Drosophila melanogaster: one gene and its partners. The protein of the gene in region 3 interacts with the protein of the main gene of each other region in a pairwise test. Each region holds a gene or a part of one and is shown on either strand. Other genes may lie near its edges. The genes, in order: Dpm3, ReepB, CG1418 and CG42597.

What was found.
Region 1: the proteins of CG1418 (region 3) and Dpm3 interact in a two-hybrid assay, tested with the Drosophila melanogaster proteins (one large-scale study listed by BioGRID).
Region 2: the proteins of CG1418 (region 3) and ReepB interact in a two-hybrid assay, tested with the Drosophila melanogaster proteins (one large-scale study listed by BioGRID).
Region 4: the proteins of CG1418 (region 3) and CG42597 interact in a two-hybrid assay, tested with the Drosophila melanogaster proteins (one large-scale study listed by BioGRID).

Annotation. Positions count from the first base shown.
Region 1 is NT_033777.3:13,401,562-13,405,330, reverse strand, and holds Dpm3 (Dolichyl-phosphate mannosyltransferase subunit 3), read left to right. Parts: upstream 1-2,279; 5' UTR 2,280-2,342; coding exon 2,343-2,492; intron 2,493-2,560; coding exon 2,561-2,695; 3' UTR 2,696-2,772; downstream 2,773-3,769. Other genes in the region: yellow-e2, read left to right, coding at 1-24; yellow-e3, read left to right, coding at 525-872, 937-1,330, 1,396-1,883; GILT1 (Gamma-interferon-inducible lysosomal thiol reductase 1), read left to right, coding at 3,581-3,652.
Region 2 is NT_033778.4:14,167,428-14,173,498, reverse strand, and holds ReepB (receptor expression enhancing protein B), read right to left. Parts: upstream 3,038-6,071; 5' UTR 2,919-3,037; coding exon 2,777-2,918; exon of another isoform or gene 2,582-2,776; intron 2,340-2,581; exon of another isoform or gene 2,136-2,339; coding exon of another isoform or gene 2,048-2,135; intron 1,711-2,047; exon of another isoform or gene 1,340-1,710; coding exon of another isoform or gene 1,273-1,339; intron 1,210-1,272; coding exon 977-1,209; intron 916-976; coding exon 816-915; intron 753-815; coding exon 691-752; 3' UTR 501-690; downstream 1-500. Other genes in the region: mRpS16 (mitochondrial ribosomal protein S16), read left to right, coding at 14-130, 196-468; CG18324 (uncharacterized protein), read right to left, coding at 3,390-3,929, 3,977-4,112, 4,396-4,643; CG18327 (uncharacterized protein), read right to left, coding at 5,305-5,835, 5,945-6,071.
Region 3 is NT_033778.4:9,962,408-9,967,216, forward strand, and holds CG1418 (uncharacterized protein), read right to left. Parts: upstream 2,661-4,809; 5' UTR 2,310-2,660; coding exon 2,227-2,309; intron 2,175-2,226; coding exon 1,968-2,174; intron 1,915-1,967; coding exon 1,623-1,914; 3' UTR 1,428-1,622; downstream 1-1,427. Other genes in the region: Pal1 (Peptidyl-alpha-hydroxyglycine-alpha-amidating lyase 1), read left to right, coding at 1-253, 791-960.
Region 4 is NT_033779.5:22,063,387-22,067,795, forward strand, and holds CG42597 (uncharacterized protein), read right to left. Parts: upstream 1,958-4,409; 5' UTR 1,875-1,957; intron 1,811-1,874; 5' UTR 1,808-1,810; coding exon 1,307-1,807; 3' UTR 1,218-1,306; downstream 1-1,217.

The DNA of each region.
Region 1 (3,769 bases), on a different chromosome or scaffold from region 3:
TTGCAGGGGCGGGGCTGCTTTTAGGTGCCCAATTCCTAATGCCCAGACACCCTCGAGATCTGTGTAAATACTTTTAAAGCCGACATAAAAGATGTCCATCTATAAATCTTGGGACGATTCGAAAGTGTTTGCTTGACCGCCACAGGTACACGACCTTTGTCTTTGGGTTTGATGGTCCATGTTACACTCGCAAAAATAAATACCAAAATGCCAAACACTCTTTATCAGCTTTCTTATTCTTTTCACTTAATAAGTGCTGAGGTCGTGTTAAATTTTTACATTCATTCGCATTTATAAAATTATAAGTAATAAATCATTAAATAAAGATTCTTATCTTTGGATTTAGCAATGATAGGACTTAAATGTATTGCAACATTTGTTCTATTACCACATAGCTTAAGTTTCTCTGAGTGCACTTTGAGATTGAAGGCTAAGAACTTTAGGGCCTACCTGCACATCTTTAGTCTTCGGCAATCGTTTGAACCGCGCGGAACTGTCACTTAGCAGGTTCTCATTTGATAGCCATGTTGGTCGTCCTGCTCGCATTATTTTGTGCAGTCCAGGGCCAGGCATTGGTCCTCAAGGAGCTGCACACCCTGCATCAGTGGACGAACCTCAGTTTGGGCGACGATCTGTCCAAGGGCAATCGCTTTCTGCCGGTGGATGTGGACATTGAGTACGGCGATGAGGGCAGGCATCGCACCTTTCTCACGATTCCGCGACTGGGGATGGCCACACCCTTCACACTGGCCACCGTCATTGCGGAGCACAATGAGCTGGTGGAGAATCCCAGACTGGAACCGTATCCCAACGAGGAGTGGCACGTGCCACCCAACAATTGCTCCGGCATCACCTCAGCCATTAGGACTTATGTAAGTAATAAAGCATATTTTCCCAACAGAAGATATTTCATGAATATTTATCGTTTTCTCCCAGATCGACGAGTGCTGGCGACTCTGGGTGGTGGATTCAGGGCAGGTAAACTCCCTGCAGTTGTGCCCGCCACAAATTCTCACATTTGATTTGGTGAAGGACGAACTAGTCCAACGACACGCACTTCCGCCCGATTCCTACATTCCCAGCGTATCCATCTTCACGGCTTTGGTGGTGGATCTGGCCGAGAGGGGCACACCCAACCGATGTGTTGGCGGCAGAGCGTATATAGCCGATGCCTGGGGTTATGGTCTAATCGTGTTTGACTCCCTGACGGGACGATCCTGGCGCATAGAGCATGAGTCCATGAAGCCGTCGCCCTTGCTGAGATTAGGACGCTCCAGCAACTCGCAGGCGGGAATATTTACAGTGAGCCTCAGTCCCAGCGAAGTGGAAGGTAGCTATTCAATTTAAATTCTAAATACTCAAAAATTATTTATAATTTCCAATGCAAATTTACAGACCGCTTTCTGTACTTTCACACGCTGAACTCCTTTAATGAGATGAGGGTTCCGCTCTCCCTGATCAACAACGAGACCTTCTGGAAGTCTGCGAATGCCAGCAGGGATAGCTTCCACAGCCTGGGCACCCGAGGAATCCAGTGCGAATCGGAGGTGATGGATCAGTCGGGGAATCTCTACTGCAGCCTCATCAGTTTAGGGGCGCTGGTGAAATGGGAGGAGTCCGTGTCCAACTACACGGCGGATGACCTGCGTGTGGTGGCCTACAATCCGCACAAGATCAAGTTCGTCACGGGCCTCAAGATCAACAGGAATTCCAAGGGAGAGGAGGAGCTGTGGGCCTTGAGCAGCCAGCCGAAACTCTTTGTTGGCGGCGACTTGCCCGCGAACGAGGTCAAGTTCCAAATAATTGGCTGCCGAACCGCTGACCTGCTTGCCAACACGCCGTGTACAGTGGGCGCCGCAGAAACCACGCCCACCAACGTTTAATTAAAACTTAGTTTTAACAAGTTTGAAACTGCGTCAATCGATTACTCTGATTTAAATTGCTGGCTGTAGAAGGCTGGCTGTTATGGCGCAACTTTGATCTATCGATAAATTGCTGACTGTGTTTAGCTGAGTAGTATGGCATTTGATTTGCTGACTGTGGATAGCTTTGTGCTATGGCACGTGCTTAGGGCTTGGTCACACTTAAGTTAGCCAATTAGAAAAGTAAACAATGTCTAACTGGAAGCCGTCAGGCTACGAATTACTAATTAGAAAATCTCCAACTAGACATGAATAGGAAAACCTCTAACTAGATTTGAATAGGTAAACCTCCTATCGATAGTAGCCGGTAAATATCGATATCGAATTACCGGGTGACCATCGGCTTAAGTTCCAGCTCTATGTTTACGTGTAGAACTTTATTTTCGGTTTAGTTTTGTTTACCAATAAATTTCGTTAGCTATGACAAATCTACAACGCTGGCTATTTTACGCATCGCTCTTTGCGATTCCCTATCTCTCCGTTGTTTTGGGAACAGTGCAAACGCCACTAACTACCAAGTATTTCCTGCACATTCAGCTTTTACCACTTTTGCTCCTCGTGATTTTTGGAGTGAGTTTTTGGATATGAATCAATGCAGATAACACCTCTTATTGACTACTACTATATATTACCCACAGATATATTCCGTTTGGACTGTTCTATATAGAACTCTGACTTTTAACGATTGTCCCGAGGCCGCCAAGGAGCTGCAGGATGAAATTCAGGAGGCTCGCAAGGATTTGATAGCCAAGGGATTTCGGTTTCGAGATTAGGAGACTTCCAGCTCGTAGGACTTGTGCATGTTAATCTGTAATTCCATTATTTATAAAAACAAAAATTACGCAAATTTACTCTAGACCGCATTTTGTGTGGGCGGACGCGTTGTTGGGGGCTGATTTCCCCAGGTGTCGGAAGTTTGGTGGCCAAATTATGTTGAGGTTTTGAAAGGATATGCTTGAAAAAGTATGGAATATGTTTATGTTTAATTGGCTTAGCTCCCCTGTGAATTACTCAAAATAAAAAATATAAGAAAACTAAAAAAGTATATGAGGTAAAATACGTTTAAAGAGATTAATAATATTCTTTACGGAAAACATATTTTTACTTAATGAACATGGTATATGGAAAACTCGTAAGTGCGAACCATATATTGCAAATCCATGCTTTGGCTATCTATTTCCAATAAATCAATTTTTTTAAAATTCTCTTAATTACAATGCGAAAGAGAAAAAAATATACTGTTTCAAAACTTTAATTTTCTCTTCTGCAAAATACTGGAAGGAGTTATAATTGCGAAGCTGAATGTTGTGATACTCAAAAGATCCAATATAAACCGATTAATAGCCATTTGAAGTTAATTTGTGTAATTTTTTTTTTAATGGCGGACAATAGTTTGAAAATAGAAATAAATTTCAAGAAGATAATACATAGTTGATGATAAAAAAGATAGTACATTTATTTACTCATGGTTGGGCAGTCTGGAAATCGGCTTTCTAATGGCCGACTGGAACTGGAACGGCGGTTTAAGCGTCAAGCTCTCTACAACAATCAACAGTTCGCGCTCAGCCACCGAACCGCTAACAACACGACCGCCGTTCGTTACGTGCTGGCTATATAACTGCATTTATAAGAAATTCTGAAGAACGAGAAGCCTGAAGATGAGTCACAAAATCGCCGCTGTGTGCCTCTTGATGAGCTGCCTGATTGCCACGGCTTATAGTGCCGCTAAGGTGAGTTTCCGGCTCGGAAAAACCCTTCGCCAAACTAGCGAAAAATCAGCCAACGGGGCCAACTAAGCCATTACACAACAGCCAAGCGTGTCAGGGGCACTCCGAATTGCTTTTACC
Region 2 (6,071 bases), 4.2 Mb from region 3:
ATAAAATATCGGGATGTCTCTATCGCCAGCCAGTGGCATTGGTCGTTTCTACGCCAAGTCGGCAAAAATCATACGTTTCGTACGCCTGGGATGCACCAATCGGCCTTTTTATCACATTGTCGTCATGGAGGTGCGTACTTTTAGGCCATTAAAATGGTTAAAACTTTTAATTGGTAATTGTATTTTCCGGTTTAGAGGCGCAAGAACCAGCACCAGCCTGTCATCGAGCAGGTGGGCTCCTTTGATCCCCTGCCCAACGATTACAACGAACGACTGGTGGCCCTGAACACGGAGAGAATTCGCTATTGGCTGGGCAAAGGTGCACACTTGTCCACGCCGGCTGCAGAACTCCTGGGAATTGCCGGACTACTGCCCATCCACCCGCGCACCTACATGACCGCCTGGCGGAACCGGAGGACAGCTGCTGAAGCGGAGGCGTCGCCAGAAAAGGCGGAATCAACCGCATAAATATAGTTGTGCCTCAATAAAAGCCTCCTTTTCGTTTTTACGTTTAACAAACGGAGATTTCTTCTGGTTCAGCGAACACTGGTGCTCTTATCAACAACAAAATGAATACAGAATTAAAATTTATTGCAAAACGTAACCAATACGAGGTGAGGTTGGTGACCAGGCCCAAAACCAAATGCATGGATAAGCGAGAAGCGGTCGGAGCTACGGTACATTCGCCTTCTAGTCATGCTTCAGCACTCCAGCGGCTTTCTTCATGCCATCATCGATGATCCTGTCAACGGCTGTGTGCAAATATTGATCTCCTTTTAGTAAAATTGCAATATCTAAGAGGTGAATTTACTCACATTCGTGATGTTTCAGGAAGTAGGGTCGCACCAGCTTGTTGTAGATGATGGTAGAACCATTCTGTTCCGTGGGCAGCATGCACCAGATGAGGAAAGCACACTACATGTGGAGTTGAAGCATTTAAAAGAAGATTCTTATATGTGAAGAATGCAAAGCTCACCTTCAGCAGCCAGTAAAAGGGAATCACCGAAGTTAGCAGACTCGAAAAGAATTCAATCACGGTGAAGATTCCAAACGTGACCCAGTAGATCAGCCACTTGGTGTCGTCCTGCTTTGTGCTGGACTCGATGGCATGGATGGAAATATATGCAGGGTACAGAACCCCAATGATGTTGCACAGTAGTTGGGCGCCCCAGCCAAAGATCAGGTAGATGGCGCACAGACCAACAGCACCTACATATGATGAAATATAATACCTTATTAGTAAATAGCATTAAGTCACTGCTGGAGCTCTACCGTAGCGCAGGAGGGGGTTCTCTACGAACAGTTGGACAATTTTGCTCTCTAATTCCTCGACTGCCATGTTCGCCATCTAGTTGGTCAATTGATATTGCCCTAGTGGCGCATTTTCCCTTATGGCTATAAGCAGGTCCAAGGGCAGGAGCGGTTCCACAGGGCGCAGGGTGATCAGATGGAGTTAACACTTACAAACTTTAGCTACAAGACTAACTGTTCCAAGGGCACAGTGCCAGGTGCTCGTACAGCTTTCAAGGGCGCCCCTTCGTGGATCCCTGGGGTTTTTAAACCGCCCCATGCCGTTGGCTAATTATAAACCCTTAGCTGTTGTCAGTAGATGTCTCGACCTGCCTCTGATCCCGGCCAGTTGCATTTTGCCCACCCAGATGAGCGGACTACGGCCTGTTGTTTTGCCATAAATTTATGATGTCATTCATGCTCGATGGCGGCTAATTATATTTATACCCTGGCTGAGGGTACTTTAATTTGAGCAACATCATTGCAAAAAGGTGGGTTTCATTACAAGCCACAGAAACTATATCCTTAGTCGATCAGATCATTTGATGTGAATTGCGAATTCTCCATAAATGGTTGTTCCCTAATATGCATATATTTGTTTACACAATTTGTTTTGATTATTAAAGTATGCCGAACTGTTGAACAGCTAATGAGGCCAAATGTTTGTATGATGAATCAACGTCCGTCATTTTTGCAAGTGTATATAGACTTCGGTTTTGAAAGATAGCTACTTTTGCCATTATGACCACATTCTCACCTATGCCGAGGTAAACCAAGGGAACTCTGACATTGCGCCGCGTCTCCTGTCGCTGTCTGATTAGCATAATATAGTCCCAGAGCCACATCGGTAACTCCGGTGAGCACCGAACGAACGAACTGAAAGCTCTACCAACGCACACAGGTGAGTGAGTAGATTGGCTCCACGTGTGCCGACAGCGCCACGTCTCAATAATTCAGACCTTTTGACCCCGCCGAACTGGACTTTCTCCAGATCTTCGTCTAGAGAATATGGCAATGGAATGCGCCAAATGTATTGCTCACCGCGTACTGGGCAAAAAAAAGTGTACTTTCGTTGAAGTAAACAAAGAAAAGCACAAAACATGAAACTTTTGTGGATAACAGACGCACACATCGCCAGCTGTCTACGTAGTCGCTTACACGCACACATCGCATGCTCACAAACTGAGGTGTATTGGTTGCAGGCACTCGGTGATAATATAGACACACTATTTAATTGGGCTTTGCCGTTTAAGTCGTCTGTTTAATTCGTTAATTGGTCACCTGGCGGCTATTAAGCCCCCCCGACCATCCTGATTCAGCCACATACACATTGCTATATATAACAGGTTGCTATTTATAAGCATCCCGAAATATTCCACTGCATCTCTAGGCTAATCTCAATGGTTACGCAGTCAACTAGCAGAAGGTTACATGGGCGTTTCGGCGAAGGACATGCGATGACGTCGCCAGGATATTCCACACTCACCCACGAAAATATTGACCCGGTCCACGCCGGTCTTCTCCTCCACGGTATCGAAGACTTTGGTCCACGGCTTGGAAGCATCGCGCAGCGATTTGCTCACGTCATCCTTGTAGCCGTTTAAGAACTGCTTCACCTGAGTGGCCATTTTGCGCAAATTGTTTTTAAATATATATAGTCAATCAAAAATATGTGACGCCGCCGACTTTCCAGATGCCAGTCGATAGTTTGTGCTTGCGCCTATCGGTGCCAAATGGACTATTGACAATCGAAGACATGATGCGTTATTGTTCGCATCTATCGCCGCCTATCGATAAGGAGAGGTCATACTAAAATTGCAATACTGGCGGCTTTTTCTTTTTCACAGTAAATATTTGCAAACAGCAAATAATTATTTTAAGCTTTTATTAGAAAGGTAAATATGTTATGCAGCAAATTACATAAGAAAAAAAACTTATAGCAGTTGACGTGCATTCAATGGTAAACTCATGGGATCATTTTTGATGAACAATTTTATTATTTATAAAATTATAAATTTTAGGATTGTCACATCGTGGGACTTAACAATTGTATGCGAGGATTTACAGTAATCTAGTTGGCTCCATGAGGACTGGACTCTTCAGTTTCTGCGCTGGGAGAAAACATAACGATCTCGCAAATGGAGCAACTTTTCAAAAAACACAAATGTCAAGGTGGTGTGTGGAGCACTACGAAAGTATATGGGCCAAAAGCCCTTGTACATCCCATGGATCCCTTCGGTTCTCCAGATTTTAGTGAAACAGTCCACCAAGCCCTTGTACATGAGTCCACGCCCCTTTTCATCCACTGGCTGGTTGTACATCCGTGTGGTGAGCACATCAAAGGGCGAATTGGCCACTGCCACAAGGGTTCCCGACGATAGGCCGGCACAGAAGGAGAGGAGAACCGGATGGGTGATCCAGCCTTTATCCTTCAGAAGGGACTTGGCTTTGGGAAAGGTGCCGATCTGTACACTGGAGGCCACAAGCGTTCGGTTCAAGCTTGGTAAAGCAGCGCGCCAGAATCCTGAAATGCCATTGGTCCGGTAAATATGCAGCAGGGCATCCATCATCGAAGTATGCTTGTGCTGAAAGCCTACGGCAATGGACTGAACCGCCTGGGCATGCTGTTGGGCCTTTATCTGTAATGGAGGGAGATCAGATGGGAAGCTCTAGCGGATCTACTCACCATGTAGAAGGGGCTGGCGAAATAGGTGCCCGTGCAGCCGCCCAGAGCTCCAAAGAACATGCCCCGATAGAAGGATATGGAGCCATCCGCATTCTGCAAGTATCCCAGCTCCAATGCGTTCGAATATACACTTAGCCTACCATAAGGAAAGGGTATTTACACTGCAATTTGCTTAGGGTAACTATTTTCAATGATGAACGTAACGACTTATCTTAAATGTCCATTACTTCACAGTGTTAGATAAGATAAGCATGCATTTCACATTAATTCATGGTGCTTGTAATTACACTACTTAGCATTGCATAATTTTACGGCCACTTTTATATAAACTTTGTTTAAATCTACCTCTAATATTCGTATAAAGTTCAAAGATTTTGATGTTTATGGATGGCAACAAGTGTCCTTTACAATGCACTTGCCTGACCGAGTTGAGGACAAATTGATAACATAATGCCGGAGCGAGACCCTTCTCCAAAGCAAGGAGTCCGTCGTTGAGGACTATCTGCAGCATGGCCTGGGGGAGATGCCTGTAGGGCTTCACATAGGTTCCTCGGGCAGCCAACTCTCCCTGCAGCTGCATCCGCGTCTTGACCACATCGATGGGATTGGTGAACACCACCGCACCCATCGCTGCCGTTCCGCCCAGCACGAAATCCGACTTGGTCATGTTTTCACCCCAAACTTTGGATTTGGTTGATCTTACGTTAACATTTTGTTTACTCTTTGGTCGACAGACCGATTGTTACATTTATCGAATTAATGGCATACATTTTAATGCTTTAATGATTTAAATGCTCACTTGGCGGAATAATTTAAATATTTGAACTCTTGTATTTGGTGTTTAAAAATTAAAATTCGCTTAAGAAAGAAATTAGTATTTGTAATTAATGAATTTTTTATTCAAAAATATTGGTAAAATTCTTATTGAATTATTAATTAGTGACCAAAACAAATAAATCACTTTGAGAAAAGGTCATAATACATTTATTATTGCTTGTTAAATATCAACATTAATTTATCGATAGTTACACGTATGGATATCGATAATTTCGCGGACGGTTAAGAATGGATTATAAGGACTTTACTTAACCACGCTCGTAGCCAAAGAATAAAATATAAATAAATACATTTTTATTTTCTCTTTTAACTTGTTTAAATCTTTACTTACCCTCTTCAGAGGATCAAATTGAAATTGTTATTTTGATGAAATATCCGGGAAACGGATATGCTACTAGAACGTAACTTCCAAATACTAAGCTAACGAAAGTAAAACAACTTCGTATGGTTTTGCATTTCAAAGAGCCCCGCTCGTGTTAAATAATTTTCGTTTAGTAGTGAAGATCGTACTTTTCCCTCAGCGCAATTAGTTCGTCAAAGAACAAAAGCACCAACGTGGAATATGGAGCACTCCTCAGATAAATGGGCCAAAAGCCCTTGTACAACCCATATACACCCTCCGATCTTAGGATCGTAAGCACACAATCCAACCAGCCCCTGTAGTAAATGCCACGACCTTGGGCATCAACTCCCTGATTGTAAAGACGAGTGGTAACCACATCCAATGGAGTGATTGCCAGCGAGACAAATGACCCAGCGGCTAAGCCAGAGCAAAAGGACAGGATTGTGGGATGAGTTACCACTCCGTTTTCCTTCAACAAACTCTTGGCCTGGCCAAAAACTGCGATTTGAACGGCGGACGCAACAGTGGCACGGCTCACATTCGCCAACGATCCTCGCCAGAGTCCAAAGACGCCGTTCTTCCTGTATATCTTCCTAATCGCATCGCTCATCGAGGCGTGCTGATGCTGATAACCAACGGCGATCTGCTTGGCTGCCTGTGCCTGAAGTTGCGTCTTGATCTAGAATGGAAATGTAGCTATCAGTGATGCCTTATCTTATCACGGCTAGACATTGTCACATATTCGCGGAAGCAGACACCTTCAGTGTTTGATTTACATAATCGCTTACCAGGAAGAAGGGACTGGCACAATAGGAACCCACAACGCCGCCCAAAGCGCCCCAGAACATGCCCTTTGCGAATGAGATCTCGCCCTTGTTGTTGTGGACCCAACCCTTCTCTACGGCATGGGTGTAT
Region 3 (4,809 bases):
ATCTACGTGGCCGAGCTGAATCCAATGCGTATCCACAAGTTCGTCCACCGATCTCTGGCCAAGCCAATGTCCTTGTCGGCCAGCAAGGACTCTAGGGACAGCGCTATTAGCCAAGCTGTGGGAGGGGACCAGGTTCCCGCAGTGGCTGTGCACCACCCGAGCGGCAAAGCAATCCTGGTGGCTTCGCTCATGCTCCTTTTCGCCGGCTCTACCTTTGCCTTGGCTTTGATCTTTGCGCGGCGGAGGAAACGAGGTAACCAAGCGAACAGCTCCGCTACGCCCAGTGACTTGGTGTACCGAAAGCTGACTGCTTCCACCCAGAGTCTTGGCTGATCGGTAGTGCTAACTCCTCACTCAATGTCCTGTGTTGTGCTGTCACACTTAACTGATTTAGTGTCCTGTACTTATAAGCTCCAACCTGTTTACATTTGTATCCACAATTGAATCTCCCTATTTACGCTTTTTTTGGTGTCGTTAATTACACAGCATGTCCACTTCTTGTGTGTTCTGTATTCGTTGGCTTACTTTTCGTTCAACTTTATTGTAATTAAAATTTATACCGCATTTATATACAAATTATATACAACTTTTTATACAAAATACATAAGCATACAAACAAAATTTACGTTTATCCTTAAGTGTATTCTGTTTTCGTTTTTGGTTTGTTCCAGTGCACGCCAGATCGCAGATCTATGCATGAACTAAGAAGGGAATGGGGTGACTAGTGTTATTGCTCATATAAATCCCATGGTAATTGTTAGTTAATCAGTTGTACCAACATATCCCACAGGTTGCCTGCCTTTCGGAGCACGCGGTCGTCGCCACGCGTGGGAGAAAAGCGATGGCTTCAAGCTGGGCGGACTTCTCGATCGGGATCGCAACGGATTCGAGAAGCTGGACCAGCAGGCCAGCGACGAGGAGCAGGAGACGAAGACACTGGCGAGTGCCCAGTACGCCTAGGCGAAGGACCAAGACTTACGCAGCTAACAAAGCATTCCTAGTTCTAACTACCTGTACCTCATTGAAATACCGACTTAGTTTTACGCGAGCTATGTATATGTGTGTACTTTAGGTAACTTTATTTACCTTCCTTGTGGTGCATATCGCAGAGAATTCCGATCGTGGTGTATTTCTAGTTGATTTATTGAGCCGTTTGTTCAATGTATTTTAAACAGCTTATTTATGGAAACTTCTTTTGGAGAACCGACTATGCGATTTTTTTCCGGTTACTTATATTTATTCTTTATTTAAAAGAATACATTTTTAAAACGCATGCCTCTAAAGAGCTCGAAAATATCTGAAATATTGTAAGTGCCACAGAGTCCAATGACTTGACCACATCCTTTAAATTAATTTTTTTTTTCGAATTAAATCGAAGTTCTCAGCGAATGCGCCTCATATATTGCGATTAATTTGCCAAAAAGAATATAGTCGTATGAATCTGTCATAGTGTGTATTTCGATTATTTAAAGTCTGCGGCTTAACTAGATTTCGTTATAAATAGGTGTACAACATATTGTGTCGACTTGCAAGGCCCCATAGTGGCGAATATGTTTAGCCCCTTTCCTCGTCCCTGGTTGCCACGATCCCAGAAGACCTAGGGTTTAGCTTCTGGCTGGCGGTCAGACAACCTGGGCGAGGAAACCCTCATTCTCCTCCGTTACAATAGCATCGATGTTGTAGAATATAGCATGCATAGCAATCACGAAGCATGAAGCACCCAGCGTCCAAAACAAAACCGCACCCGCGCCCACCAGGAATAGCACTGGTGCCGTCGCCAGATTGAGTGCGATGATCTGCTGGCTGGGCGTCAGTTGTTGTCCCACGATGGTAATGTTACTGTTGCGCACGCGCAGCTTATGGCAGCCAAAAGCGGAAGCCAGGATGACCAGCAGAATGCAGGGAGCCGTGATGCTTAAGATTATAACTATTAAATGGGGTGCAATAAGGTTTTTAGAATCACTTACAGGCAGTATATCATCAGTACAAAAAAGATGAAAACGTAGTTGGCCTGAAAATAGGAGAGATTCCGAATAACCCGGCTATTTAGCCGCTGCATGCTGATGGCCGTTTTGAAATTGTTGATGTTGAAGAAGACTACCCAGGGCCGCAGGGAGTTTCGGACCATTTGGAAGATCTGCAGCGGTGATGGCAGGTTGGATAGCGAGGGCAGGCTGCAGGGTTCAAGAGTAATTAGCTATTCGCTCCTTGTTACGGTTTACTCACCTTTGCATGTCCACGGAGAACCTGCCTCCGGAAGGCGGTGGCGGCTGCATGTTACCGGATAGGTTCCCGCCAGTGTGTGCCATTTTGCTTGTGCTTTCCCAACCTCGTCCTAACACTTATCTTAGATACACGTCTTCGCTGCAATCTACAATTCTTCTTTCGACAAGTGTGGGCGTTCCACAAGTGTTATGTGTATCTTTGGATTCGTTCCACTTGGTCCAAGAACTGTCTTGAGGATGCTGCGGCGTTTGTAAAGCGGCGAGGACTTTAGCGGGGTCACTTCTACATGGAGGCGGCAACACTTTCGATGTTGATTTTACGATTCACTCTTAATTTGCTATGACATCGTTTTCTTTTGAGAAACAGTATACAAAGTTTGAAAAATCTGATGTGGCAGATAGTTCTAGGATTGCCGTTGCCGTGACGTGCGGTGTGGCCAGAGTTGCGAGTGCGCAAATTCTCGAAATCAACTGAAAACAAATCCAAAGCGCTGAATGCAATCAAACATTTAATACAAAACTTTTTCTCTAAACATTTGAATTATTTTTTAATGATATTTTTACACAAAACAATTATATTTTTCTACCTATTACTCGTGTAGTAGATGGTTATACTAGATTCGTTTAAAAATGTATATATTTTTGATATCCTTGTCTATTAACTTGAACTATTAAAGCTAGAAAGTTAAGATTAGAAATTCAGTTTCTTTCTGATGATGCAACGCCACAATTTAAAAAAATGAATCGATTTTTTTTCATTTTATTACTTGTCTTGCCAATTTCTAGAGCTATGCCAAAAACCTTTTACCACGCCCATTTTAACACTGAAATCTGCTACGTCTTCACTTTTATGTGTAGACATTTTTTAATTTTACTATTTGTTATCAGTATGGCAAAAGATATGTTGGATGCGCCCAAACCAAACCAAACCCACACTTTTAAAAAGTTACTTGCCTATTTTTCATCTTATTATTTTTTTTTCCAATTTGTATAGATAAGCCAAAATGAATGTTGAACTTTTCCACCAGCTGAGTAATTGGTATCTGATAGTCGAGGAACTGGACTATATAGTTCTCTCTGCTTAAAAATGTTTTCATCACAGAATTACTTATTATTTCTTTTAACAAGGCCAAACAAAGCAAACATATTAAGCAATTCTTTTAATTTCCTTTTATATAAGTAGGCGTAACGAAAGAAATTTTAAGAGTCTGCGTTGCTTTACAAGTAACAGGTAAGAATCGCGCTGATATTTTAAATATTTTTTGAACAATTTATTTGACGGATAACACAACATCCATTAAATTTTTCTCAGGTCTTCTGGCTAATACATACATATCTTATATTTCTTGTATCTTGTATACACACTCAGGTTAAATGTTACATTTCTATTTACATTTACCAACAAAGAGTTTTAGAAGTTAAGAGAGTTTTCATTTGCATTACCATTATGAATATAGACTATATAATAAAAGTTCTAACTTAGATATATTTACAGATATGGATTTTTGACGTCATAACATATTGCTGGTGTGACACAAGTGATAAGTATTTTTTCACAGTTCCGGTATGAATCAGATTTTTGATTTTAACTTAAAAAAATTGTGTCTTGAAATATTCAGAATGGATTTATATTTGTTTACGGAGATGGAAATTGATTATCATCTTTTTGTTCAACGGTATTTTGGGATTGTGGAGAAAGTAAAAAATAAATCTCGTTCTAGTCACGCGGTATCAGGGTGATGGTGTCCTTCATTTCCAAAAAACCTGTGAATGTATTCGAGTGTTGCGACTGTTAGATACCTGTTACTCAGTTTATGAACCTGCAACATATGGATATGTAGAATTTGAATAATTTGGCGTGTAGCAAGGATATAGCTCTGATCAATCTATTACTACAGTTTTGATATGTTTAAAAGTAGTAGGATTTGAACGTTTCCTGGTATCCAGAAGACTTTTAGGATGTGAGCGTTTTAGGAGTTTAGGGCGTAACAGGGGCGTGGCACGGTTTTAAAGAAAACTTACATGCTTCCTTACTCTTAATGTTTCCGACATCTCGACATTCATACGGACGGACAGGCAGGCCATTATAATTAACCCAAGGAAAGTTGTGGATTGGACATCGTGCCATGAATCATTTTAGCAATCGAGATAAGCTTGAACTTTTAAGACCAACTGGCTTTTGAATTCAGTATTCGGTTAGGCTTTGACATTTCAAGATGGTCTCGATCCATTTTTATTTGGCACTTTTGCTTCAAGCGATTTCCTTGGCGAATTCTTTCCAATTTGGTAAATAGTGGCAACTACAATACAATATACATATCTACAATTTCATCGGATCAGTGTCAGTGTTAAATATATACTTTGGCAGCTCACGGATCTATTTTTGGTCTCAACAATAATTAATACCTTATAATTACAAAATTGGAACTTCATTGGGTTGATTTCGCTACACAAAACTATAGTCTTACCAGGAAAATGCAATCTTTAATAGGATTTCATACAGTGTTACAAATGCTATTTTCGGCCATTTTGAGCTCCATTAATTGGTCAATTTTTGTTACCCCCCTTAGCAAAATTCAATTTT
Region 4 (4,409 bases), on a different chromosome or scaffold from region 3:
CAGCGCAAAGATTCAAGAGGCACAGACCCATACAGTCAAATGTGTTGATATTTTTTCACATTTTTATTAGTCTTGTAAGATTTGAAATTTTTTAAAAATTTTGCCCATTTATTCCCCAACATCTATCGATATCCCAGAAAAATTTAGAAATTTCGCGTTCGCAGTTACTCTAGCTGAGTATCGGGTATCTGAGAGTGTTAACCCTAACCATAACCTGTTCTTTTTTGGTATAACCAAAGACATTACAATAGTGCCTTTGGTATAACCCACATATTTATACCCGTTACTTATAGAGTAAACGGGTATATTAGATTCGTGAAGTACGCAGAGTATGTATTGACCATAGAAACTATATATTTTCTTGGTCAGGATTACCAGCCGAGTCGATCTGGTCATGTCCTTCAGTCCGTCCGTCTGTCTGTTGGAACACCTCGATCTCAGGAACTTGAAAAGCTAGAAATTTGAAATAAGCAAGCAGGTTCCAGAGACACGCCCACAAAACCGAACAATTTCTATAGATATGTCAAAAAATACTATTGAACTTTCTTAATCACACACCAACTATCTGAGTAAAGGGTCTAAAATACTAGTTTGAAAAACTCAACTTTTCTCTTTTATCTCAAATTTTTTGAGTTTCGTGTTGTAGGATATACAATACATTAAGTAAACATAAGTAGCGCTTTTTATTACATAATGGCCCAAGAGAGAGTCAATCGCACATGTGTTCTTCACAGAGTTCGAGCCACTTTCTATGTTAATTGTTTGGTGGCACAAATGTTACTAATTACACCCACACCTTTAGCGCAACTGCAGCTTATGTTTCTCGAATTTTCTTGCCTAAGGGATCACGGATGTCCTTTTGTATAATAACCGTAAGACATGATTTGTTCGAAATCATTTTCTCCAACGGTAATTATTTCACTCAGATTCCATTTAAGCGCGCCCAAACAGTTAAATGTCTTACAAGTTTCCGCTCCCACCCGTGACATATTTAATTGCCCTATGGCTTCGAATCGAGACATTAGAAAAACCTGTTGTTCTTCTTAAGTAAAGGTCGTATGCTAACATTTACAAAGGTGCATCGCATCCTTTTGTGAATATCGAGCTTCATTAAGCATTGGGGTGCATAGATATCAAAGACTATATTTGACTATTTCACTGTTAAAAGAACAAAGAGATGGGTACTTGAAATTAGAGATAACCAATTTTTTTTTTTTGAGCACCCTTTTAATAAAAAAGTGCACATAAACTAGAAATGGTATCCCAAATTAATAGAAGGAACCGAAAACGATGTGGGTCCTTTTGCTTATTTAAAAGATTTCTGTTTGGACGAAGGACGACTTTGTTGTGTGATGATTCTCCAAGACTGTTGTGCCATTTTCCAAACTTTGGCCGGTCGATTTGTAATGGCACCCACTATCACTAAAAAGATAACTCCCAATAAAATCGTGCCGATCTCCTGGAAATTAGTGTTTGTACGGCTGCCCAGGCCCAACCAATTGGTTATAACATTTATAAAGTTGACGAGAAGCGTTTCCATGGAAAGCCATACGCCCACCATCAAAGTTTCGCCAATAAGGATGGCGATAATGGTCTCAAGGATAAACTTTCCCCACCGCGGAATGTTACTCCAGTGCGTGGGTATTACCTCTGTGTCGCACAGCAGATCCATCACTGATAAATAGAATAACTGGCTACCAAAGACGGGGGTGTCTGCAATTATACCCGGATCTAGATGTATGAAGAGCGTTGTGTGGAGCACCATGTGCACAACGAAGGCCAATAGAACAGGCGTGGGACTGGTCATTTCCTTAGAAAGGGATATTGGTTAACTATCGGGTATTGCCTGTATATAGACGTTAGAAGTGACTTGCCTGCGCGGTCTTGTAAATATGTATAAGTTACACAAATTTAGAATGAATAAGGTAAAAAAAACAAAACACATTGTTTTGTTTGTTTCAATTTAAAATGCTTGCTGGGTCGGAGAATAATTCCTGTATTGCGTTGGCAAGTTAAATGAAAACTTTAGGGACTTCAAAGTTGAAAACCAGCTGAACTCGTGGAAGACTAAAGCAGATAAAAAATTGATTGATTTTTATGAAGTCTACCTTACCTTTACCACTACCTTTTAAAACGGATTATACCTACTCCCTTATCTTTTGTAATATGTAATGTCAATATCTTTATGCGAGAGGTTAGTACGTGCTTCATTGTTCACTTTGCCTGTAAAAATTGGCTTTGGCACTGAATGTTTAATTCTGTCAGCTAAAAAATGCATAAATATCATTTTAATTAGAAAATTAGCCGAAAATATGCAGCTCACGTTAATCGTATGACGTCGTCGTCGTTGCTATAGTTGCAACATGGAAACGAAACTGAATCGCAATTGAAAACTTAGGTGGAGGGGATACGAATCTCATGCAATATCCAGAAGATACATCCCCAACGCACTCACCTCGAATGCGGAGCACCACTTCTGGCTCCACTCCGTGCTCCTAATACCGGAAATCATTTGCATTTTACTTAAATTAGTGTTTCTTGCAAACAATTGCTGTAGAATTATTTATATAGCAGTACCATTTAATTGTGCCGCCATTTTAAATTCCAATTAGATATCCAATGGAAGTCCGGCCAAAAGCCAACATCACTAAAAAGAAATTGGAATTTTTATCAAAGCAAGGAAGTCGTAAGCTCACTTTGATGAAGTTTTGTCATTTAGCCAAATAAGAATACGCGTACTGCTCGCCAGACCCACACAAAATGGTTCGCTTTTGTGTGCGCATATTTTTTTTCTCCTGCTAACTCAGTCACCTGTCGTGGATTCTAGCTTATTACGGTTTTTTGTGCTTATTGAACAGCCGCCACCAAAAATTCCAATATCAAAACTCATATTTGCCGATGTCGAGCGAAGCAAATTGAATGAGGAACACTGAACAGCTGCGAGAATTTAACATATTTGTAATATTACAAAAACTGCCAGTTGAATATCCGGTAGTTTTAGTATTAAAAAAAAGTTCATATAAATATGATTCCTGCTGAGGCCTACCTATGATTCGCATTTTTGAATAATTCATCGAATTTACAATTAAACTTTTTATACCCGATATTCGTAGAGTAAAAGTATAAAAAAATGGTTGAGCGCTTACGGACAAGACGTAAGATCGCAAATAAACTGGAGTCTGGTGGCAAAACAGCACATGCTTTTGAGCGATTATTGGCAATTCGCACCATTAAATTGAGCAAGGGAAAATGTTCCGAAGACAGTGCAGAGCAGACGAAGTCTAGTGATGATTGCAAGGCACAAACGCGTAAGGATGTAAATATCGAGGTCAAAGAGACTTATTCCGGCGATTCCTCGCCTAACAGTGAGAGCGAGAATACAGCCCAAAACGATCCGCAAACGAACGTTGAAAGCGATGAACGCGTATCCAACCTGGAACAGCTGAGTCGAGCAGTGTTAAAACGGAACGACATAAAGAACTTACTGGGTAAACCTATTTTCGCGGAGGCTGTGATTGGATCCTTTGTGCGGCTAAATGTTGGAAAAGTCTACTCCATCTACGAAACTATTGCTCTGCATCAGGACAGTAAGGACTACCGGGTAGACGGTAAGCGTACCAATCTGATCCTGGTCTTGAGGTGCGGTTCCGAAAAGCGTTATTCACGTATAGACGTGGTTTCAAATCAGCCAATTACACAAAAGGAATTCTTGTTGTGGTTGGGAACCAATCTACGCCATCGATGCACTTCACCAACGCTTAATGACAACGCTTCCAAATTTTAACCAAGAAACATAAAAAAATAATAAACTTATAACATTTTCGAAAATTGTGGCCGCTGCGGCTTTTCTGTGGATTGTAGGCGTTATGGTGGACGCCGAGTGGGTGTGACGTTAGAGTGGGTGTGCCCAATATGTTTTTGGTATATCGATACCCGGTACTCAGCTAAAAGTATGAACGAGATATTTTAATACTTTTTTGGAACAATATGCAAAAAAGAAGATAGAATGCTATAGTCGACTTCCCCGACCATCAGATACCCATTACTCAGCTAGTGTGAATACAAACGCGAAATTTCATAATTTTTCTGGGATATTGATAGATATTGGGGAATAAAATGAGAACACATTAAAAATTGTTCAAAAGTGTGGGCGTGACCGGTTTGGCGGCTTTAGGGCGTTAGATTATACGTGGAAAATGTTTTTTGACAAATCGATGGAAATTTAAGCAACTTATAAAATTATGAACAAATATCGAATAATTTTGCCGAATTTAAGGCGCTAAAGTTGGAGTGGAAAAAAGTTTTTTGGCAAATCGATAGAAATTAAGAAGACTAATTAAATTATGAAAAAATATCCAAAAAAAATTCAAAAATATGGGCCCGGCAGTTTTGGACGGTTTATTTATTAT